Arabidopsis thaliana: one gene and its partners. The protein of the gene in region 3 interacts with the protein of the main gene of each other region in a pairwise test. Each region holds a gene or a part of one and is shown on either strand. Other genes may lie near its edges.

Region 1 (9,682 bases), on a different chromosome or scaffold from region 3:
AAATACAATAATATAGAATGAAACTAAATAGTATAAAACGAACAGTAGACAAAGAATTGAGTTAAACCGATATGATCCAAAAAAACTATAACCTATAAAATACAATATTGGCAACCCAAGCAACCGAGGTACACCGTAGTGGTGACGTTGACAGTAGCGGTGGTGGTGGTGGTGAGTGGTGACGGTAGCGGTGGTGGTGATGACGACAATGGTAGTGGTGATACTAACGGTGATGTAGACGGTGGTGGTTGCGACGATACAATTGTGGCAATAACAGTGATAAATGATCATGGTGACTTGGTGGTAGATGCTAATGGTAGTGGTGGCACTAACGGTGACATTGACGGTGGTGGTTGCGATGATATGGTTATGGCAGTGATAATGATAAATGATGGAGTTAAATCGATACGATCCAAAAAAATTATACTTTATGGGATACAACATTGGCATCCAAGCAACCAAGGTAAACCGTAGTGGTGATATTGACGGTAACGGTGATAGTGGTGGCACTAATAGTGACGGTGACGAGGTGGTTGCGGTGATACGGTTGTGACAGTGACAGTGATAAATAATTATTATGACTTCGTGATGGTGGATACTTATAATTTTTGTTTTGTTAAGATAGAATAGAAGAAGAAGAAAGATAAATATTTAAAATAAATTAAAAAATAAATAAAAGAACTATGTATCCTACAACATGGGGCAAATATGGCATTATTATAGATTATACATAGAATATTATAGTCTTATAGTTAGAATAGCTAGTTAGTTAATATAAGTTTTTTTTTTGTTATACACTCAAATTTCCCAAAATACAAATAGTTGAAAACTAAACTAAGTGTCACTAAATCATCTCACCAACAACTCTACACTAAAATTGTTTTTTCTCACCTTTCACATGCAATTTTCTTAATTTATATATATATATATATATATGATGTTATATTCTTAAAAAAAAATTTCAACTCAACTTTCATTAATTAGATTAAATGTAATCAGAGTGAAGTAGAGATGAAATACATCTTGGAACATAATAAAAGAACATAAAATCTTGACCAATTCGTGATTGATGCTATATTTTTAATTAAGTTTTCAAAAATGACTAGTTTTGCAAAAAACTCTTTAAAAACATTAGTAAAAAAAAAAGGATGATGATGCAAGAATTGGAGCTAATCCATCCTTTGATCACTTGATGAGCAAGAGTTCCAAACTTGCCACGCGGAAGGTGGGATGATGAAGGTGGTGATCTAACACGCTGGCGATCGCTTCTCTCGTGTGGGATCGATTCAAGGGGAATTGATGGGTAGTTGGGTGATTGACTCGCTCAATCAGTTGGGTAATCGACTCACTCGATCAATGAACGAATGAAGGATGTTGAATCACTCAACAAACTTAATCCGCAGATTCCTGACGTACTTCATGACTCACTCACAAAGAACTAAAGAACAAATGACAAAGACTCAACTTTGACAAGAAAACGTTTCTGTTACTTTAAAATGATCAAGGGTTGCTTTACAATGAATGAGAAATCAGCTTATATAGAGCTGAATACAATGTTCTAAGGCATTAATGAAAGAAACAAAACATAAATGAAAATATTGGACATTAATTGTAGAATATGTCCAAATAAGGCAAGTGAGATGTGCCTTGTATCTTGTCAACTTGGGGAGGAAGTTGTGACGTCTTGGAAGGTTCTGGAGGGTCTCAAGATTCTCACATAAGCGCACAAACAAAGAAGGAAAGAGTTGTTGGTAATCGATCTCCTTCGGCTCCATATATGGCAAGTAGTAGCTCAGCGGGTTCTTGTGTGGTAAGATGTACCAAAGTTCGTGTGGTATAAGTCTTGTGTGGTCTAGATGTTCTCCTGGTTTCCATATGTAGCTTTGAGGTGCGTCCAAGTGTAGAATAAGGAAGATTTCCTTGTTTGGCTTCATTTCGTGCGGTACTTCAGAAGGTAGTTTCAGCAAGTAGTTCAGCCGGTCTGTTAGCAAGTACATCAAATATATGTACTTTTGATATCTTCGAATCATTTGCTTGGTAAATGATTCCTTGATGACTTGATGTTGCCTCGTTAAAAACCTTTCTAGGTAAACCCATTGGGACAAACCCTAGATAAGGGAAAAAGAGTGCAACGGTCATATCCCCACAATATGGTGACTCGGCTCGCTGGTCTTTGACCCTTCTTGAATCATCATTAGTCTTCTTAGAATTAATTTGCTGGTGAATAATTAACCCTAGGCCTTGTGCTTGATTGAGACTCCAATTGGGCAAGAGTCCTCCAAAATGCTCTTCATCAATCGGTTTGATAAATGTACCGGCTGATTTGGTATGGTCCCGGTTTGGTTTAATTTGGATGTCCGCATCAGATGACGAGTGGGTGCAAAGGGAGAATCTTTAACTTAATCTTTCGACAATAGTTTTTTTTTTTCTGGTAGTGATTCCATGACCTATGTATTATGATGTAATGCTTTCGCATAAGTCATAATATATGCCTGAAACCGTGTTCGAAGCAAAGATGGTTTTGAGACTTATCAACTATCGATGTTTTACATTTTGTGGATTTTGTTTTAGCTTGTGGAAAGGCATGTAAGAATCCATTAGATCAATTTGGGTTTTGTCTTTCAAAACCATACATTTCATGCCATATAAAATAAAAAAATGGAGCAACACCTTTTCAGAATAGCATTTTCCTTTCACACATTATTAAATAAAAACATTAGTGAGAAAACAAAAAAACAAAATACACCGAAAAAAAGAGAAAATAAAATGAAGGGATATTTCTGACTAGGAAGTCTCAAACTCCCCGAACGACATAAGACATTACAAAAGGCGTGAAAACAAAGAAAGCTATAAGTAGCAAACTGATGTAGGGGAATTCAAAACATGAGTTGTAACAAGAAAGCAACGAGAGGTTGTTATTATGTGGCTAAAGCTTTTGGATGTCTTATGGACCGAGACGATAAGGTCCATCACCCATGTAATGACCATCCATGTACAGAGCTGCGTGGTGCGGGTGCTGCAGACCATCCATCACCATGAACTGCATGTCTTCAGATGGTTTCCAGTGACGCTTTCTTTGGTTTATGAACCAATTGTTGATTTGTTTCTGATCTAACCCCGTTGATTCCGCCAACGCTACCTTCTCTGACTCCTGCCACACAACTCAAACCAACCATCTTCATTTATGTAGTAATCAATGTATAAAAAGCAATGCTAGAGATAATCGAAAATTATTTTTAAATGATTCTAGACATAAAAATGGAAAATGACCTAAAGTTTGTTGTTTTGAACGATTCTCTAAGTAAAATGACTAACTTCATTTTTCTTTGACATCAAGTAACGACTAACTATATGTTGTCTTATTATCTTTTTAACAACATGTCATTTATATTTACCAATATTAAACATGTTTTTTTCACTATCATTACAGTCGGTTAGATTAGTTATTTCATTTCAAACTAATTAAAACTACAAAAAAAATTAAATTGTTTCAAAATATATGGATAAAAATTTCATCACAAACTTACATTTTTTAAAAAAAAGTGATTGATATACGTGTTAGAAAATAGTATGTTAAGGGTTAGAACACCATGACTAAGATATGTATCCTAGTGACTAATTCTAGTGTTGTGAGCATTCGGATTTAAAACCATGTTGTTGGAAACCGTACAAGGATTTAAACACAAAATCGGTCATGCAAGTACCTACTTGGCCTAACATAGCGGCTTCAGAGGGAATTGCTAGCTTAAAGATAGGTTTTTAAAACACTTAATTTGTAGTATATATTTTAAAAAATATGAGGGCAAAGAGAGATGAGAGAAAATTTATACGTACAGAAGGATATGGCCACTTGTAATGCAACTCCCACCACGTGAGAAGCTTCTGCCGTGCTTCTTTAGGAAGTTTACCTTTCTTTTTCTTCTTGGATAGTTCTTGCTTCAAACTGCTTAAGTATCCACTATACTTCTTCAGCAAATGGTTCTTGAGTTCCCGATCTTCGGCCCTCGGGTCTATTTCCGGTAATTCTGTTTCCCCTCCGCTGTTATTCTCTTGTTCTTCGTCTGATGATCCCATATTGTCACTCTTCCCATCTGCTTCAACATAATATATTTCATGAAGTTAAATGGTTTAGTCATTTAACAACATTCTAGTCATCTACCTTTATGATTAGACTAATTAATCCGAGTAGAGATTTTGATGTTTTAGCATAACGAAATCGAAGAAGATAATGTCCCAAATAAATCTTCACGAGCAGCACCAAAAGTTCTTGTGATAGTACTTTTGGGCCGAGTGAAAAGAAAAAAAACAAAAATAAGCCCCACCCATCTTTGGATGGATTCCACAATGGGGAAAACAAGAACAAATATGCACACCTATTTGTATCTTACATACTTTCCAACAATAATGCATCTCAATTATCTTAATTATCTTATAATCTTAATTAACATTTGAAAATGTATGTAGACTATGATTTTTTTTTTTTTTAATATCTCAATGTTACAACAATTTACCATGAACCAAAGAAACATGCCAATTTATGCAATCCATCATTAGCCCTACCTTGCCACTACACTTTGTTTTCTCCAGCCATTTCTTACATGTGCATATATGTATGTATATGAGATTGATGACATGTACCAGGATTGTTGAGGATGTGAATGGGACTCTGACACAACATGCTAAGCTGAGATTCAATACGACGTATAAACTCCATTGCTTCCTGAATGGGCCTTGTTAGCTCCTCACGATATTTAACCAACATGTCACAGTATGCTTCCTATTCATACCAAAAAATAAAAAAGGAAAATCAAGACTTCTAACACATATACACACAAAGAACCGACCCATTTAATTAAAATTCAACTTTGGTTAGTAATGAACCATGAATTGATCTAACTCCGGGTCTCTAGAGGAGGCAGAGACAGACGGTGTTGACCGCTGTTGTCGAGCCTCAAAGTCTTGCCGTGCCGCCGTAATTCTATCAACCACATCAGGTGGAGCTCCAATCTATATAAACCATGACCCATGAACATACATATATATGTCACACATAACTATATATTATATCTTTAAAAAAAGAGTATATATTATAACATAACAATAAGAATAAAACCAAACCTTTTGGCAGTCCAAGTAAGCTTGTAGGAGGGTAGAGTAGTGAGGATGAGCAATGATTTTAGCCTTCATGGCTTCAACATCGCTTACGTTGTCATTGTTGTTGTTGTTAGCTTCTTGAGTATTGTGGATGGCTCTCATTAACATGGAGTAATGATTGATTCTTGAGGAGCTAGCTTCAGATTTAACAGATGGGTTGTTGTTGTTGTTGGGTTGATCATGATCAGATCGGAAGCAATTCTCGGTTGTTTGAGGGAGAAGAGAGCTCATATGTGGAAACAACATGTGTTGGTGGTGATGATTGTTGTTGTTAGTATTATTGTAACCAGGACCATAATTGCTACTATTATTATTGTTGTTGTTGTTGTTGGTATCACTTGTGTTATCGTTTTTGTTGGAAGAAGAGATTGGAGAGTACAAGAAACTTACTCTTTGAGGAGTGGTGCTGTTGTCATGCTGGTATTCTTCCATACCCAGATGAGTAAAGATTTGAGAGAGAGAGAGAATATAAAAATCAAAGAAAAAAAATAAATTAAAAAAAAATAAAACCCTAGAAAAATAAAAAAGGATGGGTGTAAGATGAAGAGGATGTATGTATTCTTGCTTTTGTTCTTATTTCAATCAAAGGTCTCTGTAAGACTATAACCACATCAAATCCAGACGACTAGACGACTCATCTATGAAATCAAAAAGGCCTAACTCAAATTAATATAAAAAAAGAGAGAAAATTTTGTGAGGTGAAGTTGCACCCAAAGAAAAACCAAATAAATTGAAAAAGATATATTTGAGGAAGAAAAAACGAACTAGGTATATAGAATTCGTCAAGGAAGTGACATGGAAGAGAAGAAAATAAAAAAAAAAAAAAGAGAAAGAGAGAAGAAGAGAGAAAGAGAGAGAGAGAGAGATTAACAATAATGAAGAAGTTGGGTGGCTTGAGTGGATTGACAAGACGTCGTTTGCTTTGGGAGCAAAAAGAAATATTTGAAAATTAAAATAAAGGTAAGAGAGAAGGGACAAGAGATAAGGCAAAGGCTTCTCTCTTCTGTTTTCCTCTCATAGGCTATTTTATACATTAGAACAAGACTAAGTAATTTACTTAATTAAAATGTGGTTTATAATATTCGAATTAAGATGAACCACTCAGTGTTTAAGCAACTAGGTCTTCGCGGCTACTTCAGGCTATGGTTTCTTGCTAGGTTGAATGATATATTTTGTACTATTTTCTAGTAATGAAATGTTTTTTTTTCTTAAAAGAATAGTCAAGAAAAAAGTTTTAAAAAAAATATGTATGATTTATATATACTTCTAATACGATATAAACCCAAGAATTTGTAGTCTAGTGGTTGAACATAGAGTTCGTTCAACAAATTGTGATCATGTGTCACATTATAATTCTATACTTAGGAGAGGGGACTACGTTTATCTTGTTCTGGTCCTCGGTTTCACTGTACGGGTTTCTGCCTAAAACTTACGGATAACAAAAAAAGAATTATAAACAATATGATAGAAATGTACATATTTGATGCAAGACTTGGATGTTTTTGGAGTTTAATCAAATCGATGAAATTATAATTTTAGTTTTCGTAATTTCGTATGTATATTAGTGGAGAGATCACACTATCCGAATATTTGTTATCGGATAGAAGATTACATTAGAAACCGAGAAAAAAAAAAGGAATTATAAAAATGCTTTACAGGATAGTGGATATTATACGATATTCTGCTAATTTCCAACTATTGGCTCTATGATAAGACCATGCTGCAAACACACTTCTTTCAACACTTGTTCTGTTCCACGGTCAACATTCAATTTTCTATTTAATCTCGATTTATATTTCATGATTCATGAGACGTATAGAGTGCCTATGAATTCATTTTTATACAAAAAGAAACGAAAATCCTAGGGTTTTATTTATATATAAATCGTCAAATCCTAGGGCTCTAGATCAAAAAGTTGGCTCATCGATAGATTTTTTTTTTTGTTTACCTCATCACTGCACTAGACCGAAACTTACATTGTGACTTGTGAGAGTTTGTAAACAACAAAATGTAAGATTTCTTACAAATTATGACTTGCTATGCCGGAAATTTTGATAGTAAATATTTAAATATATATGTATACATATATTATTTCTTACTATTAAAAAAATAAAATCAGCTGCTTAGAACCAATATTATTAGAATTTCATTAAAAAAAATCGAAAATGTTAAAGGTTAAATTTTTGCATTCGAAATGTTTTCTTTTCCTTTAAGACCTCCTCTTATTTTCTGTTTCAGTATAAGATGCTGAAACATTGACATCATAAAAGATCATTCATTAAGGGTACATCTTTGAATTAAATATCATAATATTCCAAAACACAAGTGCAATAGACTAAAAACACACTATAAATAAGTCTCTGATCCCAATATTCTCATTAATATGGTCATGCAAGAAGAATATATATATATATATATATATATATATATATAAATAAAAATATTATAATACCCATAACCATATGGATCTAATTTCTTATAATTTTCTATTAAAAAAAAAATTGTTTTCAAAAGTGTGTACAATTTCATAGAATTCTATCTTTTAGATTAGAAAGTCAATTATAACAATAAAATAAAACATTCAATTTATTATATAAAAATTCACCGGTAGGCATAGATTGTTCTCTAAATTTATTAATAAACTCATTTACTCATAACTATGTAACGACTTGTATGAGGTTATCTAAACCTGCAATAAAACACTCAAGAGATACACTAATTAAACTAATCTCTAAATACAACATAGCTACTTATCAATCATTTTCAATCAATGGTCAAATGTTAAGAAAATAAAAGGAGATGATAAGCTAATCAAATCTAGAAATAAAGTACATATTTGCAAATTGGCCAGGTTACAAGAACTGACGGTAATAAATGGCCAAAATAGAACTACGAGTCAGTAAGTAATGGTTAATGAGTGGAAAACGAAAAAAAAAGAAAGAAAGAAAGAGAGGCAGTGGAAGTGAGAGTAGGGGATTGACTTATGCGTTGGATGTTTTTATTCAACGATTAACAGTGATCAAAAGATTTGGCAGTGCAATGAAGTGAAAAAAATGACTGACTACACCTATTACTGTTCCTCCTGCTTCAGCCCACGTGCGTGCATGTGTCTATCTATAATCATCATCTGTGTTCGTGTAGGTTTTATGTTTCGGGTTTTTATCTAAATTGTCACAATTAACTATTTTGTTCACCCTATTTTATTTTATCAATCAAAACCTGTTATCTAATAAATAAATAAATTTATTTTATTATAAAATTTAATTTCTAACCACACTTTAATAAACCTAAACTGATATATAATTTTATTTAATTATAAAATCTAAATTCTAATTCTATCAATCCAAACTGATACATAATTTTGTTTTGGTGACATATGAATTTTAATAGTTAAATAAGTTTAAGTTTTTGATTAGATGGTAAATTCTTATTAGCATGAATAAAAGGAGGTGAACATTTTAGTTTATTTTTAGCGGTGAACCAAAATATTTTTTATTATTAAGTACCTAAACAGATCGATAGATCTACTTATAAGTAAATATATGTAGAAATTGAATTTCAGTTTTTTTTTAATTTTTATGTATTGACATTTTGGCGATTTTCACGCTAAATATAATTTTAGGAAAATAATCATTGTTTTCATAACTTATTTTTTTGAATTATGAAAACTTGAATTTAAATTACAGTGATGGTAGAAAGTTGAAAACCTAAGACTATTTTAAAGATTTTACATTCATAAGGATATTGTGATTTTGTTTATATAAAATGATTATTAAACTGAACAAAAGAAATTGACAACCTAGATAAAACATATCTAGTTGATGTTATTGTTGAATTAGTATCTTTTAGAACTTTATTGCATTCTTATTAACAGTTAGAAACTGTGATTATTCCATTTTTGAAAAGACCACCAACCAACCATCTCCTTTAATTAACATAAATCATCTACAGTAAAAATTATGTATTAATTTAAAAAATTAAATTCATATATTATTGTTGCCCACAGTTATATAGGGAGCAATATTTCATATGTGGAATTATATTGTTTTTGTTTTTTCTGAGGTATAAAGGTTCAATTTTTCCAATAAAAAAATCGTTATTTTGAAAGTATTTACAGTTCTTTTGACAAATGTTAAACATTACCAACATAAATTTTATCTTTGCTATTTTATATAAAAACATGCATATTTATTGTCATTATCAATTTTTCCTAGATCTTACAAACTGATATTTTAAAGATAAAATACGAAATATAAATGTATCTTTAATCACCCTAAAAATGATTTAGTTTTTTTTTTAATACTACTCTATATAGCCCATTTCTTACAGATAGAACATGTATTGACTAATTAGACTCAAAATACGCATAAGATAACTAAGAAAACAAATTTTTATTATCTTTTAGTGGGTTGGCAATAAGTGTTTAGGTGGTAAAGAATAGACAATTAAGTAAGAGAAAAAGAAAATAAATGACTGCACAGTAACAAAATAGTGGTTCAATAATTGTTGGTTTCTTAAGAACATTATT
Region 2 (8,506 bases), on a different chromosome or scaffold from region 3:
ATACGAATAACTAAAGTGTAGTCATTGACATAAATCAAAATATAGGAAACTCTTATAAAGAAAATCAAAATTGTATTTAGCTCTTTAAGTTTACACGCTTTTAGCATTTAAATTATTTAGCTAAAAGATCTCCCCCATATTATTGTTTCTAAATATAGCTACACATAAGATAAAGACCCTATAACAAAGAATGGTTGGTAATTGATCTTGATATCGAGGACCAAACATATATTACTTAAATAATCGAATAAAATCTCTCAAATAGCTTTGGGCCATCTTACATCATTTCTTCAAAAAAAAATATCTTTTTACAACTAAAAGTTAAAAACAAGAGAAATTGAAGCCATCCCCTTAAAAAGTCTTTCAACCCAAATTCTCTTGTTGATTTGTATTGTTTTCATACAATTTGCTCTATACAATTATAACCAAAAAGCATATGAAAAAAGACTTCCTAAATAAAATATATTTTTTAGTCACAAATACATAAGTACATATATTGCCACTCGTGTGTAGTATAAATATACACGTACTATGTAACCGTTGGCCAACGCCTTAATCCTACGTCTCTCTCTCTCTCTTTCTCTTTCTCTTTCTCAAGCAGATCTTTTCTTCTTTCTCCTGAAATGGACCTCGCCGGAGAAACAAACAGCCTTATCTCCACCGTCGCTTCTTCTTCTTCCTGTTCTTCCTCCGTGTCGTCAATCGACACAAGCCTCGATTGCGATTCGCCACGTGGCGGAGATGTAGACCACGAATTGCTCCACACGGCGGTTTCGGTTTCTTCGTCGGTGTCGGTTTCTTCGTCTTCTTCTGCTTCAATCCAGAGAGTTCTGAGCTTAATCCGATCGGAGGATTGCGATTCGAGGCTGTTTGCTGCTAAAGAGATCCGTCGGCTGACAAAGACGTCTCATAGGTGCCGCCGACACTTTTCCCAAGCCGTGGAACCTCTCGTTTCTATGCTCCGATTTGATTCGCCTGAATCTCACCACGAGGCTGCTTTACTCGCTCTCCTTAACCTCGCCGTCAAAGACGAAAAGTACGTTGTCTTCTTCCTCCTCTCTGTTTTTCGAATTTGTTCTGTTTTTCGTATACTGATCTGATTAGTGGTGGTTTCTTAGCTTGGGATTAGTTAGATTAATCATATCGGATATAATAGATTACGTGATTTCATTAGAAACTAGATATCAAAATTCGGAGAAGATAGATAGAGAGTTTTAAGAACTTAAACACGTTTATGAAAAACTCATGATGATGATTCCATTACTTCTATCATTCCGGTGAGAAAATGGAGTCATGATTGAATCAATAGGTGTCACAATTCTTTCCTTTTTGGTCGGTCTCGTGTAAGTTGATGATTAGGTAATTGTATCGAAATGGATAACATCGATCGTAGCAATCTCGTTTTCTGCTTTAATCACTTTTCTTTAATAAGATTGGGTGGATCAATCAACTTTGTTGGTAATTGCTTTTTGTTTGCTTGGAGTGTACTCTATGTTTCTTCAAGCTTTTTTTTATTTGTGTGTTCCTCTTTTATATCCTTTTTGCTTACATTTGAAGGATTTCTGGTTACTGGGGATTCAAAATTTTCCTAGGGTTCATCCATTTTTAGGGAACAGGATATTTCGTCATCAGGGATACTCTTCTTTACTTTTAAATTATTCTTTTGGTTATGCGATTTCTGAAGAATTCTGACTTGATTCTTTTACTGTTGTCATGTTTTGTGAGAGTTGATTGGTTTCTAGTTGTAGATGAAATTTTGATTGATCTACACAAAAGATAGGAGTCATGTTAGCTTAGCTTTTCCTTTTTTCTTTTCTTTTTTTCACTAGTCTTGACATTCCTTTAGCAAGCAAAGAATCAAGTAGCAAGATAACACTAAAACAAAGAATCTTTCTTTCTCTACGTTAACCGGCCGCAAATTCCCCCGTCCTTTGATATTCCATCAGAAAGAGAGGACAATAACAAGCCAATCTCAATGCATCAAAGTGGTGCATCTTTAAATTTGTGTCAAACTAAAAACAGAGGATGATTTAAAAGTTAAGTGATAGTTTATAGATGGAAATCACCTGAAGTTAACTAACTCTTTGCTTTGGGGTAGGTATTAATAAGTTTGCCTAACTTAATTTATTAGCTCTTTCCGCATCTGTAGGGTCCCTGCTTTACCAGACTTGAGTATTTTTTGTGATATTTTTTCCTTACTACTGAATCTTTCTTAGTTTATACGCAAACGACTTTGTAGTCAATTTATTTTTTGGTCTAAACTCTGAGATCATCACTTTCTTTTATTAATGGGATCCATCTAGTGGAGAGAAGACATGGAGCTAGCACAGTAAAGATACTAGGACTCACGCCTTTCTTTTGCTTCACTTTTCCTCTCTTATACTATTGTTTTCATTAAATATCTTTTCCTACTTTAATTTTGGTGTCCCATAAACATTAATTAAATTACGTCTGCTTGGTTTTCCTAAGAGGTTAGGTTGGTGGCTTCAACTCTATTTTCCCTTGATTACAATTCATATGACTTTTAAATTGAATGCAGAGTAAAGTCTTAGAGAAAGAAAGATTGATTTTTGCCTATTTGATTAGAAACATATGTGTCATTGTCTTCGATGAATATTCTCCTCTGAGACTATTATTCTGAGTTTTGTTTCTAATTTTTCAAATTTTAGGAATAAAGTGAGTATAATTGAAGCCGGTGCTTTAGAGCCAATCATCAACTTCTTACAATCAAATAGCCCAACACTTCAAGAGTATGCTTCTGCATCTTTGCTCACTCTCTCCGCGTCAGCAAACAACAAACCCATCATTGGAGCTAATGGTGTGGTTCCTTTATTAGTCAAGGTCATTAAACATGGAAGCCCACAAGCTAAAGCTGATGCAGTAATGGCTCTTTCCAACCTCTCTACACTCCCCGATAACCTAAGCATGATCCTAGCAACTAAACCACTCTCACCAATACTGAATCTTCTCAAATCAAGTAAAAAGTCGTCGAAAACATCTGAGAAATGTTGTTCACTAATAGAGGCCTTGATGGTTTCTGGTGAGGAGGCGAGAACAGGGTTAGTTTCTGATGAAGGAGGAGTTTTAGCGGTCGTGGAAGTTCTTGAAAACGGGTCATTACAAGCTCGGGAACATGCCGTTGGCGTGCTTTTAACGCTCTGCCAAAGCGATAGGAGTAAATACAGAGAGCCAATTCTTAGAGAAGGTGTAATACCGGGACTGCTTGAGCTCACGGTTCAGGGGACATCGAAATCTCGGATTAAAGCTCAAAGACTTCTCTGTTTACTAAGGAACTCGGAAAGTCCGAGATCAGAGGTCCAACCCGATACAATAGAAAACATAGTGTCAAGCTTAATCTCTCATATAGACGGAGATGATCAATCCGGTAAGGCAAAGAAGATGCTAGCTGAAATGGTCCAAGTTAGCATGGAAAAAAGCTTGAGACATCTACAAGAACGTGCCTCGACTCTTGTTCGTCCATAACCTGTGATCGAAAACCGCAATCCCTAGGTTTCTTCCAAGTATAAAAACGGTGGTTTGACTCCGAATAAGGGTGATGAAGATTGAAGAATATATATATGCCAGTCCAGTTGCCGGCGCTTTGGTTCTTAGTGACTGGTTTTTTTTTTTTTTACTCAAAAGTGTTCATAATAAAATCATTTTGTAATTTAAAGTCTTTTTGTGTGTACATGCATTACTTATAGAATCGCTTTTACTTTAAAAAAAGGTTTCAATGATATTATTGTGCCATTGGAGTGTTCTATATATAATCCGAACCTATCCGACCAAAATCCCTACGTTAATGTCGTTTTATAATTTCCTTCTTGACTATACGTCTAGATTGAATTCCAGAAAGAATAACTTCATATATGTTTTCAAAACTGAAACCCCCCAAAATTTAGATCCACCAACTCTTAGGTAGAAGACCATTGAATTTGAGGCTTATGATCTCATAAAAGTAGAATAATTTCACCTCGCATATTTTTAAAAGTTGATAACGTACGTCAAAATCAATTTGACATCCATATTACCTCATCAAACCCATAATAAAGAGAGAGAAAAGAACAATCTGTTTCGAAAACAAAAATGTACCAAAATATATTTCGAAGAAAATCTTTTAACAAAGGCTGACATCAGTCCTCGAAACTGAAAGTACATTTTGGATCCGCCTTTTCAGAAACGCTCACGTTCACTTCCCATGTTATCAACGAAACTGTCCAAATTTGAAAAATATATGACACAAAATCATTTAAATAAATTCATATATATTGGATCAAGTAAAAAACATACAGAATCGTTATCCTTCCATTTATTGAAAACTACTTAGCTCGATCTACGATACAAGATTTTTTACTCGTTCTCTTAACTCTCAAAGATACGCACAAGGTCCAAAAAGATAAAGTTGTAAACATTTAGGCAAAAAGGTTAAACACACAAAAACTTCGGGTTAAAAAGTAAAAACATAACTAAAGTTACGGTCTCTTTTCCTAATTTTTTAAAACATTTATTGTTTTTCCCGGTTTCAGGCGAGTCATCTCTACCGCCGCGACTCAGGCGAGTTTCCACGCCGAGGTTGTGATGAGTGGTCGCGTCTGCCACCCTATCATTAAACATCCGTCATTTTCTTCAACTCTGTATCCATCTCCGGTAGCGTAAAGCGATAAAAGCATACTCGCTTGTTTAAACGCGCTAGATCCGAGATGAATCGGGTCAAACCCAGCGGATTTCATCCGAATCCTCCACTGTGCAGCCGTCTCGTGCCGCTCGACCCGATCGGACCCTTCCGCCGCAACAACGTTGAGTATCTGTCTCCCTAAGTACACTTCTGACATAACTCGGTCTTGACTCGGTAAACTATAACTGTCTTCGAGCGAGTCAAACAAGCTCGAGTAGTAATGAAGCGCTTCGTTGAACCTATCGAGGAAGACGATTCCGTTGTGGTTCGCTTCTTGCTCAACCACCGTTACGATACTCGGTTTAATAGCTTTAACCGTATTGAGAAGCTTTTCGATTGAACCGGATCGGGCTAATAACCGGTGGAGCTCAAATACCGAATTAACCACTAAGGTTTCAGATTCGGGTCGGGTTTCGAACATTTCGGGTTCAAGATCCGATAAACTCTCAGCGGCTAAGCCTTTGAATTCGAATTCAACGCCCATGTTCTGAGCGAATTGAGCTAATTTCCAACCTAACTGTTGAAGCGAATCTGAATTCTCCGTCTGCGGTGGTCCGATTCCGGTGAGACGAAACGACGGAGGTCCACCGGGTCGGAGAGCTAAAGCTTGCATTAAAGCAGGCCATTGCATCCCTTGATTAAGCCCTAAATCAATGACGTGAACTCTACGCGCCGTCGTAACAGCTTCTAGAATCGCTTGGTTCGCCGTGAAATGAGCGAACTTCAGGTAAGGGCAAGACTCGTAAAAGTGCATCTCCAAAACCTCTTCGAAAGATGGGTTCACCGCCGCGCAAACGTCCGTCTCCGCCGTGTAATCACGGTAAATACGACGAGCCAAGGCTTGAGCAAAATACGTAGCGACTTTTCCCATAGCTCCAGCTTGAGAACCCGCGAGTGTTCCCACGCGTTTCACCAGCGCGTCAGCTAAGTTGAGATTCTCCTGGTGAATCGCCTCAGCGCACGCCACTAGTGCGTGGACAAGTCTAACTCCGGTCTCCTGAGAGTCAACGAGCACCACGGACCGAGTTGACTCGTCCGACGATTCGCACCACGATCCGAGTCGGATCCTCTTGCTGCTAGCTTCCTCGTCAAAGACTTCCTCTTCCTTTGGAAACGCAGAAAGACCCGGAATTGCTCTGAGATCGTATTCGGATCTATCCACACAACTTCGGGTCGTGTCAAGATCCGAAGAAGCCGGGTTGTTCAGCTCAGAAAGCATGCTCTCGACCCAGTTAGAGAGATCAGATGGGTTATAATGAACAGAGTCGTTTAAGACAGTAGAACCAACATCATCATTAGACAAGACCATCTCAAGTTGTTCAAGCTTCTGTGCTACTTCAGCCATCTCAGAAGATCGAACCTTGTAGCCAAGAACAGCAAGAAGCTCATCATCCATGTTGCTGTTGTTGTTGTCATCATCAGCCTTCTTCTTATCCGCCATTGAAGGACCTTCTCCGGAACGAGAAGCTGGTAGTGGTTTTGGTGGCGGATCCCATGTTTCTCCGTATCCTCTCTTCATCTTTCTTGTTCTTGTGATGGTGAGTTAAGAGACTGATGAAGTTGAAAAAAAAAGAACAAAAGAGAGTTTATAAGAAAGGAGTTTACTTTACTTCATGGGTTGGTAAGGTTTTTATTAATGGGATTTGAAAAAGAAAAAAAAAAGAATTTTGTGGGTCTTTGTTGTGATTTGGTTACAGACAATTTTTGTGGAAAGAAAGGAGATTCTGAGAGGAGCAATATATAAAGCACGAGGGAGTGAGAGAGAGGTCCAATTAGAGAAGTGACTGTGAAGTGTGTTTAAGAGATAAGAATCAGAGCATGCCACTATTGTTTGGCATCTGTTTCTCTCTTTCATTTTTTCCTAACTCCAAGAAATTTACTCCTTTTTTTTTGTAGTAATGGATAATTTTCTTTATAACTGTTTAGTAGAGATTTCTAAATCTGTTTAGTAGTTTTGACCAATGGAACTTTATAACTTTTAGGTTGTAGTGTGCTTTCGTCATATTTGTTGGTAAGATGTTTTTAAGTTGTGAAGTGATTAAAGTGTCTTTTAATGATAGTGTCATAGTCTTATAGACGATCACGACTTAATTGTTCTTAAATGCCATTGAATATTGTCATATTCTCGCTTACGACTTCGTTGTTCTTAAACCCAAACGGCACCAAATGCGTGTTAAGATAATGGCACTTAAGTGTAGTTTTTTTCCTTATGTTGGATAATGTTTATTTTTTCACTAAATAATTGACATTTGATAATCAACTCTTTTCTAATGACAACTGAAAATATTGAATTATACAAATTTGATTTTCTCATATCTTGGTAGAAAGTATATAATCTTTTCCTCAGTCGAAAGTGTATAATCATGAAGCAAGAATCCTAAGTTGTTAGTGTTTGGATAAAAATACAAATTTTCAAAGCAAACAATTTTTTGTTACCAGCAGGTTTAATGTCATAGAGTAATCAGTTTTTAGAGATCATATTAAACTGAGACAACATTAGATAACTAATTATTTTATTGGTCCATAAGAAAAGTATAATCAGACACAAATATGATTCAACTATTACTCTCTTTTTTCTTGACCAAGTTCTAACATTCTGGTGATGTGAATTCTTTTTTACCATAATGATAAACAAATATGTTTTTAGCTATGTATTGTTTCACTGAGATAAAACTACAGTCTACAGCTCAAGTATTTGAGGGGGACACATGAGCAACTTCTCATGTGCCACGTAGAGGAAGACATAGCCTACGAGACGTCCACAACATAAGGTTACTTTCATTAATTTATTGCATATATCTTTCAGCAGTTTTACATACACACATCATCATCATGCATAATAATTAAGGTTTTTTCGAATAGTGGTATCGTTTGGAAACCGTAAAAGATCCTTTTGGAATATAAGAAAATAAATTATAGAAAAATGTTGTGGGGATTGTATATAGGTATGGTCCCAATCGCAGCTACAAGAAAATGATATTCGTTGTTGTGTTAGAAGTCACATGGTGCATGCTTTTCCATTTTTAGTCATTTGATGTAACTTGTGTCTAAATTGGCCTGTTTTGCTTTTGTGGTTTACATTATTTGTTACTTTTTATTTAGGATCCCTCTTTTAAAATTCATAAGATGAGAGAATCGAAACTGAAGCGCGTCATGCTCACTCGCCAAAACTAGTCCACCTCAAAGAACACTTCATCATCGTCAATTTATCTTTCACCTTATTCACTACCTTTCAAGATTTAACTACATCACCAAACTACGAGTATTTGGATAACCAAACCAAAAGAAAATCTGAGTCATGGTTTCATTTACCGAATATTCAAATCAAAATCCCCACTTCTTCGCCACTTCTCATGTTCACCATTTTCATTTTCTTCATCATTCAAGAAATCTTCTAATGGTTCCTTCTCTTCCTTCTGGCTATTATTGTTGTTGTTATTGTTCCCCCATCCATTCATCAGCAACATCATCTCATTAGGGTTCATGTTACGCCCCTGTTCTCCATGATTCCCAATCGCATTAGCTCTCAACGGGTTACGAGCCATCATCTCGGCATGAGACTGTTGAGACTCTTCTGCCCTTGCTTGTCCTGCTGCTTGAGCCAAAGCCGCCATTCTTAACCTCGCATCCTGAGCTTTCATCTCCCTATCCAGCTGGATACATGCGTTTCTCTCGTCATTGAGCAAAACTTGTTCCATCATCAGCCTTTCCTCAACTCTGTCTCCATCGCTTCTCTTTTGAATTATCCTGTCGAAAGCTTGGACTTGTCCCTCAAATGTCGCCGTGAATTCTGCAACTTTGGCTGCAATGTTGTTGTCCCATTGCTGACAG
Region 3 (7,791 bases):
ACCAAAGACAATGAGAAATTCAACAGAAATTAAAAGGTATGCACGGGTTCGAACTATGAGGGAGCAAGTGAAGGAAAAGAGGGAACTACAGCAAGGTATGCACGAGGAAGAAGAAGAAGAAGAAGAAGAAGAAGAAGAAGAAGAAGAAGAAGAAGAGTGAAGGAAAAGAGAGAAAAAGGCCATTGGGCCCAGAGGTGAACAAGGCCCAATTAAGGGTGGGTCTTGGTTATTAACAAATTTCTAATTAGATTAAGTACAAGAACTACATAATGGTTGTGTTGTTGTAAGAAAACGATTAAGGAAAGTAAGAAGTAAAAAGAGTTTTCCAACACCTTTTGCTTCTTCATCAAACATTGGATTTTTTTCATGTTATAATCTCAACGATATAAGATTTCAACTGTACATATATACTTTCAAATTTTGATAATATTGTGGCCTCTCGAGGTCGAGTTCATGATCGGGTTATGCATAAACAATTGAACGGTGATTTGTTTGAACGTTGAATAAATATGATACAAATTTAATAAGAAACAAACTAGCAATTAATCGTTATATATATATAATTAAATTGTTGGTAACAGAATTAAACATTTAAACATGTTATTCATCTCATTCAAGACAAATTAAACAAATACATTCAAACGGATAACTTTGATAGTTAACAACTCGATGGAAATTTTACAGACATTGAGAATGTGTGATACATCAACATTATGTATTTTTCTTACAATTTTCGCAGGTAATAGCTCACTAGTTAGTGATTATACACATCAAGCATACATGCTAACGACCTAGATAATCTCGTACGTATACGGACTAAATAGTTAATCTAGAAATTTAGGAGTTACTGCAAAAAAACTAATCCTAGGAGGCAGAGTTTCCAACGGATAAAAAGTCGAAGAATGGAACATGACTTTCATGTTTGGTGTCCGAGTCACTGCGTTTGCTTTGACCTGAATCTTGATCTATAATCTCGCTCTTGTTTGAATCTGTGTTTACTTGTAGAAAATTGTAGAACTCCATAGGCTTTTTACTCTGATTTGCTGCGATCCAAACGATAAAAGAAGGACGAAATTATAAGCTATGTGGATTGCAACTATGTTAAATATATAGAGATGACTTCATGTAATGACGGAAACAATATATGATGATGAGTACAAGAAAAAACATGCAACTAATTTTGTCACATAATTTTGAAGTTCATTAGAAAAATGATTATGCAAATGAAAAAGTCGGCTAAACTCTTTGAAAAGTAAAAAAATTCGGCTAAACTTCATTTCAAAATTTTGGAACATATATACCTTTTTCATCAATAATCCGTGCAAGACTCATATACATGCAAACACATCTATAGAAAATGGATCCTTCTCCATCATTTTGAGTTTACCTTTGTGATTTAAAGCGATCTTTCCGGTGAAAAACTCCTTTAGGAAGTGAAGATGATTGATATGAGAGAATTTGTAAGGGAAATTTATAAAGTCTGCTGGAAATATTTTCTTCCGATCATCGGAACTATAATTATGATTATAACCACCAGAACTCATCATGATTTGTTCACTCGCCATTAAAGAAGAAGACGAAGTCGTCGAGGGAAGAAGACGAGGCTTAGAGGTTTGGCGTGTGCGACGAGCCATGATGACGTGCCAATGGTTCTTGACGGCGTTATCAGTTCTTCCAGGGAAAAGCCTTGCGATGATGGACCATCTGTTCCCATGGATCCGATGAGCCGCTAAAAGTCTTTCTTCTTCTTCTTCCGTGAAAGGGTTTCGGTTGATCCTTGGATCCAATTGATTAAACCATCTCAATCTACAACTCTTACCTGCATATATACACCAATACAATTAATTCATATGTATATATATATCAAAGTATCAAAATTAACCCTAGCTAGTTTTGTATATATGGACAAACCCTAGAAGATATCAATTACCAGAGCGACCAGGAAGCTTGAGAGCAATGGCGTTCCAATTGTGAGGACCGTATTGTTCGACAAGATCCTTGAGCTTCTCGTCTTCAGCTGGTCTCCAATGGCCTCGGCTGCACATGATCATTTTTCTTCTTCACGCCGATCTATTTAATTACGTAATTAACTAAGTATACCGATCCAAACCAATACAAGAACAAAGAAAAAGAAAAACACACAGATTCTATATCAATAACGCACGCAAAAAATTTGTTGTGTTCATGTATTTTATGTACATATATAAGAAATTAAAACCCTAAGTTTTTTTTTTCTTGGGAAAAGGTTGGGGAAGATGGGTATGTGGGAACAAGAAGAAAGCTGAAGAGCACCTGCACGTATATATATACATAGTCTATATTATTGCGAGTATATATATAATATACATTTTATGTCTTCTTCTTTTTTTTCGTCTAATATACATTTTATGTCTTTACCAAAAGAAAATATATATATATATATATATATATACATTTTATATGATGAAAATTAAAATAAAATAAAACAAAATCCGTTAGAGAGTCGGGAGGGTTTGGACGGACCTCTCTACCGGCGACTGATGCCAACGTCTTCCCTAACCAACAAAACACCCCCTTCTACGTAATCTACCTTTTTCTTTCCTTTATTTTACAACTAGGATTTTATTTAGTTATAATAATTATAGAATATATAATATCGTAGAAAATAAGAGCATAGACTAGAGATTGCTTGGTGTGGGCAGGATTTCGTTAGCCTCTCAACGTCTCTTCGTATAGTATTAATTTAAGGTTTGTTGTTTCTAAGTTCTAACCTACACCCGCTACTTCAAGCCACCAATACTCATCTACGTTTCTGTAATCTTGGCAAGCTACGTATTCACATATAATAAATATCGATATCCTACACTGACAAAAATTTATTTCATGTATCAAATATCGTCCATAATAATTAAAGATAAATATTTTCAGACCTAATCAACGTTTTTTCTAAGCCTTAATTAGGAATATATCGTCCAAAGTGGAGACAATACAACTAACTTTTTCTTTGCAATTTTACAATGGGTATTTTCTTATAAACTGTAAATAAAATAGAAGGTGTATACAATTGAATCAAGTGATGAAATATATTAGCAAAAATTTTATTCTCATGTGGTCAATCATTTTAGTCGTAAACAAATAAAAAAGGTGGTCAAATATTTGGTCTCCAAGCACGTCTCTCTTGTCCAAAACGGAACTTTATAGGTTTCGGACATTCAGGACTAAAAACAGAATCAGTTACATTGAATGTTCCGTGGGACTAATTAGAACATTTCTTCAAAAAAAAAAAATCTGTAAGCAAAAACCAAAATAATTGCTGGTAAAGTTTAGTAGGAAAATAAAATAAAACAGAGAGTTAGTTGGGAAAGAAAGCCAATAATCAACTTCATTTGTTCTATCGGTAGTTAGGAGAGAAGCCTTCTTCAGTTTCGACTTTCGAACCTATCATAACTAAACTTAACCTATTTTCGTCGCAAAATGACCTATTTCAACTAAACCGGATCCTGATTACACTAAACCGGTCAAATATTATATACCAGTGGGCTTTTTATTTTACAACTGTATGGGTACTTCATCACCAAAGGCTGACAGACCAACTGTGTCATGTCTTTAGACTTCTTCAGCAAGAGTTCCTGAGACTTGAACCTGTTACCAGAACTGAACGATGAACCGACACTGTTCTAGCATCATAATGTTTCAAGAATCTCACATCAAACTCGAGAATCAGAGAGCAAGAGCAGAAGATAAACCATAATAGTCATGAACCATAAGGAAAACAAGCCTCTCACATTGCTAAGGATCATACAAAGTTCGGCTCTATCTCTATGTATGCAATGGTCAATACAATGACTTTAAACGAACACGTTAAACATATTGTGAGCTGTGAGAGCCTTTTCAAAGAAACCAACATAACCATTAGACAATAGACCTGGATAGGTATCTTTGCTTTCGAAACCATGCTTATTGGTCCAGAATTAGAGAGACTGTGATGGATGAAATTTCACCAGGGATCATAGTCACGAAGAGCTCCTCTCTAGGCAACAGAATCATCGCACCACTGAAAATGGTTCTTTGTTTTAGTATGATGATATGGTCCAACAGTTTTCAGTTCACATTACTTCCCTCTGAGTTTTGTACTCTTTCTCTTCTCACTGAGTGCAAAACGCCTAGCCATACTATGGTTGTAAAACTTTTTCATATGTTCAGAAACCTTATGAATTGCCTTGAGGTTACCAACTTCCGATAGACGCATCAAGAAAGAGTCAAACACTCGATATGGCAGTTTGAGTCCTTTGTTCACAACCTCTTCCAGTAGAAAACACGCCTCTTTAGCTCTGTGACAGTCGAAAAGCCCATTGATCATAGCACAGTATGTTTCAACGTCCTGAACACAGTCTCTTTTATCCATTTCAGTCCATGTATTGAATGCTCCATCAGGATCATCCATTTCGAAAAACATAGATATCAGCATGTTGTATGTTTGGACGCTAGGAGCACAACGCGACTCTACCATTCTTCCATAAAGTTTAAGTGCTTCATCGGTCTTTCTATTCTCACACAATACCCTAAGAAAGCAATTGTATGTGACTATATCAGGCGGGTAACCTTTATTACTCATCTCATCCAGGAACTTGTACGCTTCATCTACCTTTTCAGCCATACACATACCTTCAATTACATCCTTATATGTCGAGACATCAGGAAGGCAACCCGTGCTTATCATACGCCCAATTAGCTCAAAGCATTCTTCTGCCTTATCATTCTTTGCCAACGCCACAATCATTAAAGCAAAAGTCTTTGCGGTTGGAGCAGAAACAGCAGAGCCTTTGGTTATCATAAAGTCAAACAAATCAGCTGCCTCATCCACCATTCCAGCTTGACAGAAAGTATCAATAGCAGCACAATAAGTGAAATTTTCCGGCTTATGTCCAGCTTCAATCATCTCTTCAAGCAGCTTCATTGCCTTTTTAGGGTCTCTCACCCTACACCACCCAAAGAACAAGACATTAAACGTATTCGCATCAGGTTTAACTCTATGCCTCATCCTTCTAAGCAAAGCTTCACCCTCCTTAACCAAACCACACTTACACAGAGCATCAAGAAGCATATTGAAAGCATTAATCTCAGGCTGCGTCTTCACTCTAATCCGTTTCCTCTTGGCAAATTTCTGAACATGAGTCAAGTACCTCTCACAATACTTCCTGAGAATCTCCAATAGAACATCAACAAGAACAACGGTTTTGTTGTTTCTCTTCATGTAATCAAGCATATCAATCACAATCCTAAACTGCTTATTCTTATACTTAGTACTTGACAATATATCAATCATCTCATTATAAGCAATAGGCTCATGTGAGTAATGTTCTTGATGTCCAGCCCAAGTGAAGAACCGAAAAGCCGTCTTTTCTTCGTATTGAAGCCTTTGTAAGATCTTACACACCACAGGAGTTGTTAAATCTACACTAGATTCATCAAGGGCTTTTTCCATATCATCATACGCATTCAAATTCGCCATTATAGCTTCGTGTAAGATTCCAACCGCATGATTAGAACCCTTTGTTCTAATATCATTTTCATTGCAATAAACCAATGATTGATCTTCGGAAACTTTCTCTATACGGGTAATTTCTAGTTCTGGGTTTAACAAAGTCGTGGAACAGAATCGATGCACAGAGAAAGATGAGATTTTTTTGTTGATTTGAATAGAATCTAGATGAGAACTCAATATATGAGAGAAAAGTGCGGACCTTTGAGGTGGTGTTGTGGATAGATGCAAGGAGAATCTAGAACGAACAAAGTAAGAGACGAGTCTTCGCATCATTCAGTAATCAATCACTCGGAAATAAATTCGTTGAGAGGTTTAAAGCGAAGGAGACTGAGAGGAACTAGAGGAAGGGGACGACATAGAGAAGAGAGAGAGAGAGAGAGAGAAATTGGAAGATTTTAAATGGGCTTTTCTTTTGTTGAGGCCTTTTCATTTTTAATGGGCTTTCTTCATTTAACAACGAAAACTATTTTGTTTGGTTTGAATTACACACTACTTCAAGTCTTAAACAAAAGGGAATCAAATTTCCAATTTCTTTTACATCAAGGTCTAGACTCTAGATATCAAATATCAAATTCTATAAAAAAAAAAAAAAGAGAAAACCAAAAAAATATCAATTTAAAACCAAACCAAGCCATAAATCAAAATTTCTACTCCTAGTTTATCATAGAGCCACAAATAAATAATATACATATACATCTCTTTACATAAGAGCATCTGCATCGGGAAGATTCTCTTCCTAGTTTCTCAAAAAAAAAAAAAAATATTATTTTAATTATATAATATATTTTATTTAAATTGTAATAGTTAAACTAATATTTGATTGACATGTGGCGATTCTGTCAGAAAAACGATTCTCTTAGTTTCTCAAGTGAGGTACTCTTCTCCCTCTCTATCCTACTTTTTCACTTTTTTGTTCTTATTTTATTATTAAGTTTCTCATTCAGAAATACTGATGGAGATGGCCTAAAACAACTAATATATATGTAGTTTTTTATATCGAATGAGAATTATCCTGTTACATTATACTAAACAAATATTTACAGATTCTATACACAAAACATTATTAGATACTCTAGATTTTGCCGATTGTAAAAATTTAATAGTCTAATCAATGGTATGTATATAACGATGTAATTAATTTGCAAGTAGCAGAGAAGAAGCAATACTACTTTTGGCATATAGCAACAAGTTATGGTTTTTCTTTTTTCGTTTCAAATTATTGGTCAAGTGACAAGTGGCCGTTAGCGTAGTTATGACTTTTGAGACTCTCGTTGTGAATCATTGCATTTTCTATGGTTTTGGTTTTAATGCATTTCTCATTATTTTTTCACAATTTTTTTCAGAAACCAAATTAAAAGGAGGGATACAATTGGGGGATTGGTTTTTAAGTAGATTGTATGCACATTCACTCTTCAATCTCCGAGCGAATTAAGGAGAATCATAATAATAAAATCAGAACATAGAAAAAGAATCCAAACCAATAAATTAGAAAACTTAAAACTTAACTTAGAGAATTCAAAATGTAAAGAAATATCACAATTTCTTTGTTCTTGTTCCCAAATTAAAGTACCGTTCCTACAATTTTTATTTTTATTTTTTTATCACATGATATCTTAATATATAGTTGGATATACATAGGATCGATATTGGACAACCAAATAAAAACAATGACCATGATTAAGTTTGAAATTTACTTACGACTGCAATTAACATGGCAGATATAATGGATTTCTTCCTAACTATTAAAAGGAGAGAATAAAAGCAAACCAAAACTAACGAAAGAGACTTCACAAAAAAAAAAAAAACTAACGAAAGAGTTGCATCATACTAATTCATGCTAGATACAGTTTTATTTTGATTAGTACCTTTTCTAAGCAAAATTAGAAAACCCTAAACCAAAAATTTGCATTCAACGTGTCGATTTACTTGTAACGATCGGATTACTTTACTGGGTCTTTTAGTTGGTTACATGAAAATAAAACATAATTTAAGTCAGTTTCTATAAAAGGAAACCAAGTCGTAGACGAAACGAAGACACAAAAGTAGCTTTAAGCCTTTTAAGTTTTAACCTGTGGGTAACATCGAACCAATAGTAAGCAACGGAATGATAGTAGACACGTGTCGTCACAAACCGCCCTTATAAATTTTGCTACAGACCGTTGGGGCGGTGAGACAGTCGTGATCTACTAACCGAAATCGATTCATGAATGTAGACACGTGTCTTCCCTTAACTGGATTCTACAAATATCTTCTTTCGTCATTACGTT
Region 4 (7,066 bases), on a different chromosome or scaffold from region 3:
AGCTTGAGAATGATAGAAGGAAGTGTTTCGAGAGATCTTTCTCTAATATTTTTATGTCTATTTATTTTGGGAAGCCATACGTGAAGTGAAGTCGTGAACCTTAAATCAGAAGCTCATAATTAATAGTTTTTCTTTACATACTAACTAAAAATGCTTTCATTCACTTATTTCTTAGAAAAAATTCTATATATCATTTTAACCTTAAATTTCTTTATCTAAAAGAATTCAAATTAAAAAAATTGTATACTCCGATTATTGAAATTACACTGAATATTGGATCCAACTATCGAAGTTCCCAACCGGCTCTTCTGTTCTTTAGCAGGAATATCGATAATCAACTCTTTTTGAAAAAATGAAGATAATCAACTTAAACATGTTCAAACTCATAATCTCTATAAAATATTAAGTAAACCAAATGCACAACTTCACATTAACTAAAGATGTTTTAGAAATAAGCTCAAGAACAAAAACCATACATATAGGTGTGCACTACTTTTGGTAAAACTCGATCGGGTGAACAAAATAAATTTACAGTTTACTAACACGAGTTGAATACGAAAATAAATATTCTATAAAAAGAATGGAAAACATACATTTTCATGTGAATCTGAATCGCTACTTTTTACCCATTTATTCTTTATTTGGTGAGTGCAGTGAAATTTTTATTGGGGCAATATAAAACCATCCTTAAAGGAAAAAAGGGTCACAGAAGTTCAAAGAAGTAATGATGAAGAACTCACAAGCATGCCCATTATTTTAAATTCTCTCCTTTGCTGCTTCAAAATGCTTTAAAAAAACAGAATAATGAGATAAAACTATACTTTTATAATTCCCTCTTCTTTATTTTCTTACTTTTTTAGAAAGTTTGTGGGGAAACAAAATCAATTTCCAAACAGGTACGTCGAATAATCATTATAAGGTTTATTCGATAGAGACCTCGATCCAAAAAAATAATATCACGTTGAGATTCTAATGTGTATCAAATAATATTGTTTTGACACATTTTGTCTCATATAACTGGTTATTTTCTTCTTTTACTTTATTTGTTGTTAATGGATCTCGGAGAATATACATAGTCACGTAGTCAATTTCCACTTGTTACCAAATCAACTGTGATCGCATGCATTCCTACGGAACTTTGAGTTAAATAGTTTGGAACATCTTTAAAAACTGTATTTCTTTCACCTCAAAAATTTACTTTTGGAATTAAATTGTAGAATTTATGTATGATAACAAAACAATATTTGAGAAATAATTGAGATTCTGTCATCTTAAACTTGAGAATAATGAAATCTATGTCTACAAACAAATTATCTGTACCATGCAAAGAAATCATCTGTAGATTTAATAGAAAATAGTTTTTCACGATTTGAAAAGAAACCTTATCAAATATAAGTGGTCATGCAATTTTGTGCTTGTAATTTGAGTAATATAGCAAGTTAATTTGAGAATGATCAGATTTGTTGTTTAAGAAAGAAAAAAACCTATAAGGATTATCAAATTTATTGTGTCGAAAAATAAATCATCTATTGCATGCAAATAATTAAGGTGGCAAGAAAATCTTTAAATCCAAATAATTCCTAACGTCAAATCATTTGTCTGCTGCAATTTAGATGCATTGCATGTGTACTGGTTATATCGCAACGAGCTTTAACCATATTGAATTGCCATTATTTAGCTATTTTGGCTTGTTGCTAACAACTGATATTATATTATCGCGTATATGTATGCAAGAAGAATCAACCGATCGTCAAGGATATATTAAAGCCTGCTCATGTTATGTTTTCCATTCTTTGCTAGAGAATATTTTTATTTTCGTATTCAACCTTAAGGTAGTAAATGTAAATCATATTTTGTTACAAAAGTTAAAGTAGTGGTCGGAAAACACTAGTTTCCTTTTATTCGCATTACAAACAAAACAAATAAATAATAGGTTTGGACTGTTCGAAGAACAGAGTGTTCTAAGGAAACAGAGTAATTGCAGTCAAACACCTATTTTATGTAGCTAAATTATTTTTTCTATTTTAATATAAGGTGCTAGAAAACACAAATCCCTCTAATTAAAAAGTTGGATTTTATGGTCGTCAAGCCACAGCTAGGGACACTCTTTTTCTACTTAGCAGCAATCCCAAATTACCAAAAATAAAAATAAAAAAATGAAGGCCCACCGTTGAAAAATTAGAACATGCATGGAACAAAACCAAAAGCTAACTCAAAATATTCAAACTCTCATCTCTCTTCACTACTTTAGATATCTTTCTTCTCATTGTTGTATCTTTTCACTACATTAAATTCCCACTTTTTCACACACGAACACATGTGTAATTTTTAGTTTTTGGTTTCAAGTGTTCAATTGGTTTACATGGAGAAAAATCAGAAAATAACATTTTTTTATAATACTATACATAACATAGCATATGATCGATTGCTCTTATAGAAACTAGAATCAGTGTTTCAAAAGAGGCCAATTCAGATCAAAATGTCTTGAAATTAGCCTTCTCTCACTACTACTCTCATCACTTACGACGCCGTTTTTGTGGAAACAAAAATAAAAATGAAAAGAATACGCTAAAACGACAAGGCCATTTCTCACAGCGTCTGAGTTGGTAAAACAGAGCAAAGCTCAATGGAACCGTAGTGAAGCAGCTCCTCAATCATTTGCTCGATATGATCTTCCTCCAATGGCCTAAAATTCTGTTGCATATTCGCATTTCCATCTTCCCACTTGATCTCTGTCGTCTCCGTTACTCCTCTGTTCAAATGACTTTCGTTAGCCGTCACACCGTCACTGTCCGCGGATTGTGATCTTGCGGTCTGCGTTTGCGTTTGTGTTTGCGTTTGCTTGGTCATTTGAAGAGAAGCCATGTAGCATTTGTGGAGTTTAGCGGTAAGAGTTGCTGATAGAAGCTTGGAAGAGGAAGTAGGAATGGCATTAGGGTTGTATGGGAAATTAGTACGAGCTCTCGGGCCACACATTAGCCTAGCCGCCTCGTCGTAGGCCCTTGCTGCATCCTCCGCTGTCTCAAACGTCCCTAGCCAGATTCTTGTTTTCCTAAAAAAAACAAAAAAAAAACAAAAAAGTTTAGCATTACTCAAATAAAAAGCGACCGAGGGTAATTTCGTAATTTGAGAGGATGATGAGGGAGAGTTTTTACAAGAGAGGGTGACGAATTTCGGAGACCCAAGAGCCCCAATGCCTCTGTCTAACGCCTCGAAAGCGTTGTTGTGGTCGTGCCATTAGTGTGAATGGTAAATGGAAATAGGGTTTCAGGTGAGTTTGGTGTGTTTGTGGAAATGTTTTGAAAGAAGAAAGAATGATGAGAGTGAAGGAGCGTTTTTGGAAGAGTGAAGGGTAGCTATATAAGTAGTGTTGGCTTTAGCTTCATGAGAGAGAGAAATGTTTTTGTGTTAAAATTTTCTTTGGCAATAAACTGGCAATCAATTTGGTCCTAAATTGGACCCACACCATTACCAATACGACTCAGAAAATCTCATGGATTTTGTTTGATGTGAGAGAGAGAGTTATATTAATTTATTTAACTTAAAGTATTCTTAAATTTACTTCATTTGTTGTATTCGAAGTTGCTGCGACATGGGCAAATGGATTATCTAATTCTGTCACATATTATAGTGAAAATTGAAAGCTTCGAAACTACATGCTAAACTGTCGGAAAAGTGTTTTTTTTATTTAGAGATATTTTTTGGAAAGTATTATCGTAATTTATCTAAAAGTTAAAATAGAATTTAAATTATGAATTAACAAACTTATCACAGTTTTTGTTAGAATACAAAATTACAAATGTTCAATAGTTTCATATGAATTTATTTCTGTAACAAAAGCTAATTTTTTATCAACAAATATAAATTAATTAAAACGGTTTAGAAATCAAACCTAAGATAATTTAATCCAAACCTTTTTCTTTTCCTTTTGTCCCAAGTTACACATATTATACTTAGACAATTATAGTTATAATATCCTAAGTTATGGGGTATTTTTAAGATAAAACTAATAAATAGCTCTAAATATAATAACAACCCTACGTATATAGCATATATATTTATCAATTATTTTAATTTTCCCATTGTGAACAAGTTGGATCCAAAGAGATTTGGCTGCGGTGAAACTTCAAACCCACTGTACCTATTTTCACATGGGTTTGATCATCACAACATGTCTCTATATCATAGATACTGCCAAATTTTTCCCCAACTAATTAATAATAACGATAAATAATTGGAAAATATATAGTTTGATAACTAGCGAGACTCTTTCATCACCATTCTTCACCCATGTGAGCCTTTGATAATGACTCAATCAAACACCCAAAACCATCTTCGATTATCATCTTCTCTTTTCCCTTCTTTAATATTATTTTGTATTGTTATTATTGAAACAAACCTTAATGTATTGTCATCATACCCATGATTTCTGAGTGTACAGTTTACCTACGAGTCTGCGACCTATTAAAAAAAAAACTCTAATACATTATTTTTCAATTAAAAACATAGGTTTAATAATTAATAAATATGTGATTATGCCCATTACTGAAACTTGGAGAGGGAATTAGTATAATATTGCATAAACTTATCTACAATTTTTAGATAGTAGTATATGTTAATTGTATAGGGAATGTCACATAGTAACCACTTCTTATTTGGGTTTATATATGGATGTTTTTGTTTGCCAATTTATCTTTTGTTCGACAAAGTTTCATCAAATAAAAGTAAAGGTTATGTCGATCATATTCAGTCGCACGCATATTTAAAAAAAAAATAATCTCCAATTGAGACTATATCCTTTTAGAGTCAATTATAATTGGAATAAGAGGTAATAGAAGAATATGTTGGGCAAAAGAGTGTGTAGGTAGAATGGATACATCAAAATAACAAGTGCCAAATATTATTAGTTCAATCCAGTATCAAATTGATGAAAGAATCCTAGACCGCAATTATGACGACAAGAAAAACAACTAGAGAAGGTCATTAACTTTTTATCAAATAATTGATCATTTTCACCCTACTAATAATCATTCTTAACCCTAATAATTATTCAACATATGCTTTTTTTTGTCTGTATATTTGCATCCATGTCCATAAGAAAACGAAAAAAAAGAAAGTAACTTATCTCTCTCGGTGGTGTAGTAAAAGAAGGATGGTACTGAATGCTAATATCAGCAAGTTACATAATGGAAATATATATGTACCTTTGAAATAACAACATTACTACAACTGTAATTTTAATTAAACAAAAATAATTTTGATATGTCTAACATATTCGCTTTTACTTAGGTAACTATTCTTTGTTTCATACGTGGTTTAATTGTATTGGTCGATCAAACAATATAGCAAAGCATGTGAGGGTGAGAAGCTAGCTAGCTATAACAAAGACTGTTTTTATTTTAAGTTGCATTGAGGATTTTGTCTCTTTGCTACTATTTTGGCACGTGTGAGTAGTGATGACTAATCTTCCAAGTTTCAACTAGTACCATACCTCTGAAAGAGAAAAAGTATTCAATATCTATCTCCCAAATGCATGGCAATGAACAACAACAAAATAAATACACAATGTTCATTAAAAAATAGATTAAACAAGGTATCATCCTTATAAATTGTAATTGAAGCAAATTTGTCAGATTTACACACACAAAATGTGCTACGGTTTTGCAACTCTTATAATATGAATTTAACAACTAGATCATTCGTTAATTATGTCTAGATTGTTTGTCTTTATAGCATAGAGGCTCATCATATGTTTGGTGACTCATATTATATAACTTATCTTAATTGTTTTTTTTTTTTTGTCGACTTGGAGATAATGAGAAACTCGAATATATACAATTATCTTTAACCATAAAAAAGGAAAACATTTAACAATTAGTGTTTTGGGACTACATACAAAGTTATGGGAAAATCAGACAAGAATTATGAATAAATATGAGTAGGGCCTAGGTCGTAAACGCGTGACATGGGACCCAAAACGACATAGATAAACATGGGTGATGAAATGGTTTTGATTGTGATTCATGTCCTTTTCTTTCATTCAGCTGTAAATTAACTATATATACCAAAATCAATCTATTTTAAAAATTATTTTAAATAATCACACTCATATAATATATACTTTCTCGGTTCTAACATATAGTTTTGTTTTTTTTAACCGCGAACATATAGTTTTGTGCGTTGCATTCTAGTTACTTATATGTTAGCATACACATTTCAGATCAGTTAGTTTGAAGAGTAACTATTCAAGGTCACTTCTTTATGTTTTATGATCATCGATATTAAAACCATTAACCAAACAACAACTTCCTCCAACACTTGTTTGTGAAGTCAAACGAGTCCTTTAAATGTCATAGATGATTGAAAATGACTTTCTCTAGTCACACTATTTGCGCTGGCTCTAACTCTAAAATTAGGCGAAACCATACCGAATGAACAACGATAGATTACGATTGAACTCATATTCGGTTAAATATTATGACTGAATAAGATCCCCTAAGATAGATATATATACAAAGATTGGAGGGCATAAACATTAGCTAATAGTTTCATATCGAGATTGTTGATATATATAATTTCAGTTACAAAAATTAAAAAAAAATATGTAATTTGTTTTGGTAAAATGAAAGATAATTACTACTTATTTTAATTCCAAAAAATATTGTGACCCAAACAATATAATTAACTATACATGTGATTAAATTTGTAGATAAATGTGAAATAATAAGGTGACGTCCATATCAAAGACCGCCATTCTCTCGTCCCATTCCACACTCAGTCACATGCAAATATGGAGGGTCCATTGAATCCTCAACAAAAGGTCACAACAAGACTAATATTCTATAGAACAAATGTAGTTTTAATCATATAAAAACATTTAGTCATATATATATATATATATGATTATATTATATATTAAAATGGATTGGAGTTAATTCAACATGGACTTTGGAGGTTTCATCAGAGACATTGTTCCTCAGCTTGCATACACACATGCAGTATCTTTTGGTGTTATCTATGCATTTTTATGTTCTTGGTACAAGAGAATCTAATCTATGTTGACAAA

The links.
Region 1: the proteins of MYB54 (region 3) and KNAT1 interact in binary tests that used the Arabidopsis thaliana proteins (3 or more experiments, as listed by UniProt).
Region 2: the proteins of MYB54 (region 3) and RGL2 interact in binary tests that used the Arabidopsis thaliana proteins (3 or more experiments, as listed by UniProt).
Region 4: the proteins of MYB54 (region 3) and ESE3 interact in binary tests that used the Arabidopsis thaliana proteins (3 or more experiments, as listed by UniProt).

Annotation. Positions count from the first base shown.
Region 1 is NC_003075.7:5,145,025-5,154,706, forward strand, and holds KNAT1 (homeobox knotted-like protein), read right to left. Parts: upstream 6,136-9,682; 5' UTR 5,587-6,135; coding exon 5,119-5,586; intron 5,008-5,118; coding exon 4,882-5,007; intron 4,778-4,881; coding exon 4,639-4,777; intron 4,092-4,638; coding exon 3,835-4,091; intron 3,152-3,834; coding exon 2,945-3,151; 3' UTR 2,675-2,944; downstream 1-2,674. UniProt on the Arabidopsis thaliana protein: May play a role in meristem function, and may be involved in maintaining cells in an undifferentiated, meristematic state, and its expression disappears at the same time the shoot apex undergoes the transition from vegetative to reproductive development.
Region 2 is NC_003074.8:815,086-823,591, forward strand, and holds RGL2 (RGA-like 2), read right to left. Parts: upstream 6,568-8,506; 5' UTR 6,195-6,567; coding exon 4,551-6,194; 3' UTR 4,252-4,550; downstream 1-4,251. Other genes in the region: AT3G03440 (ARM repeat superfamily protein), read left to right, coding at 624-1,036, 2,670-3,483; AT3G03460 (mediator of RNA polymerase II transcription subunit-like protein), read right to left, coding at 7,984-8,506.
Region 3 is NC_003070.9:27,596,112-27,603,902, reverse strand, and holds MYB54 (myb domain protein 54), read right to left. Parts: upstream 2,311-7,791; 5' UTR 2,052-2,310; coding exon 1,931-2,051; intron 1,820-1,930; coding exon 1,388-1,819; coding exon of another isoform or gene 1,329-1,387; exon of another isoform or gene 1,044-1,328; coding exon 865-1,043; 3' UTR 586-864; downstream 1-585. Other genes in the region: AT1G73400 (Pentatricopeptide repeat (PPR) superfamily protein), read right to left, coding at 4,091-5,797. UniProt on the Arabidopsis thaliana protein: Transcription factor that regulates secondary cell wall (SCW) biosynthesis, especially in interfascicular and xylary fibers.
Region 4 is NC_003076.8:8,704,418-8,711,483, forward strand, and holds ESE3 (Integrase-type DNA-binding superfamily protein), read right to left. Parts: upstream 3,469-7,066; 5' UTR 3,239-3,468; coding exon 3,156-3,238; intron 3,053-3,155; coding exon 2,590-3,052; 3' UTR 2,328-2,589; downstream 1-2,327.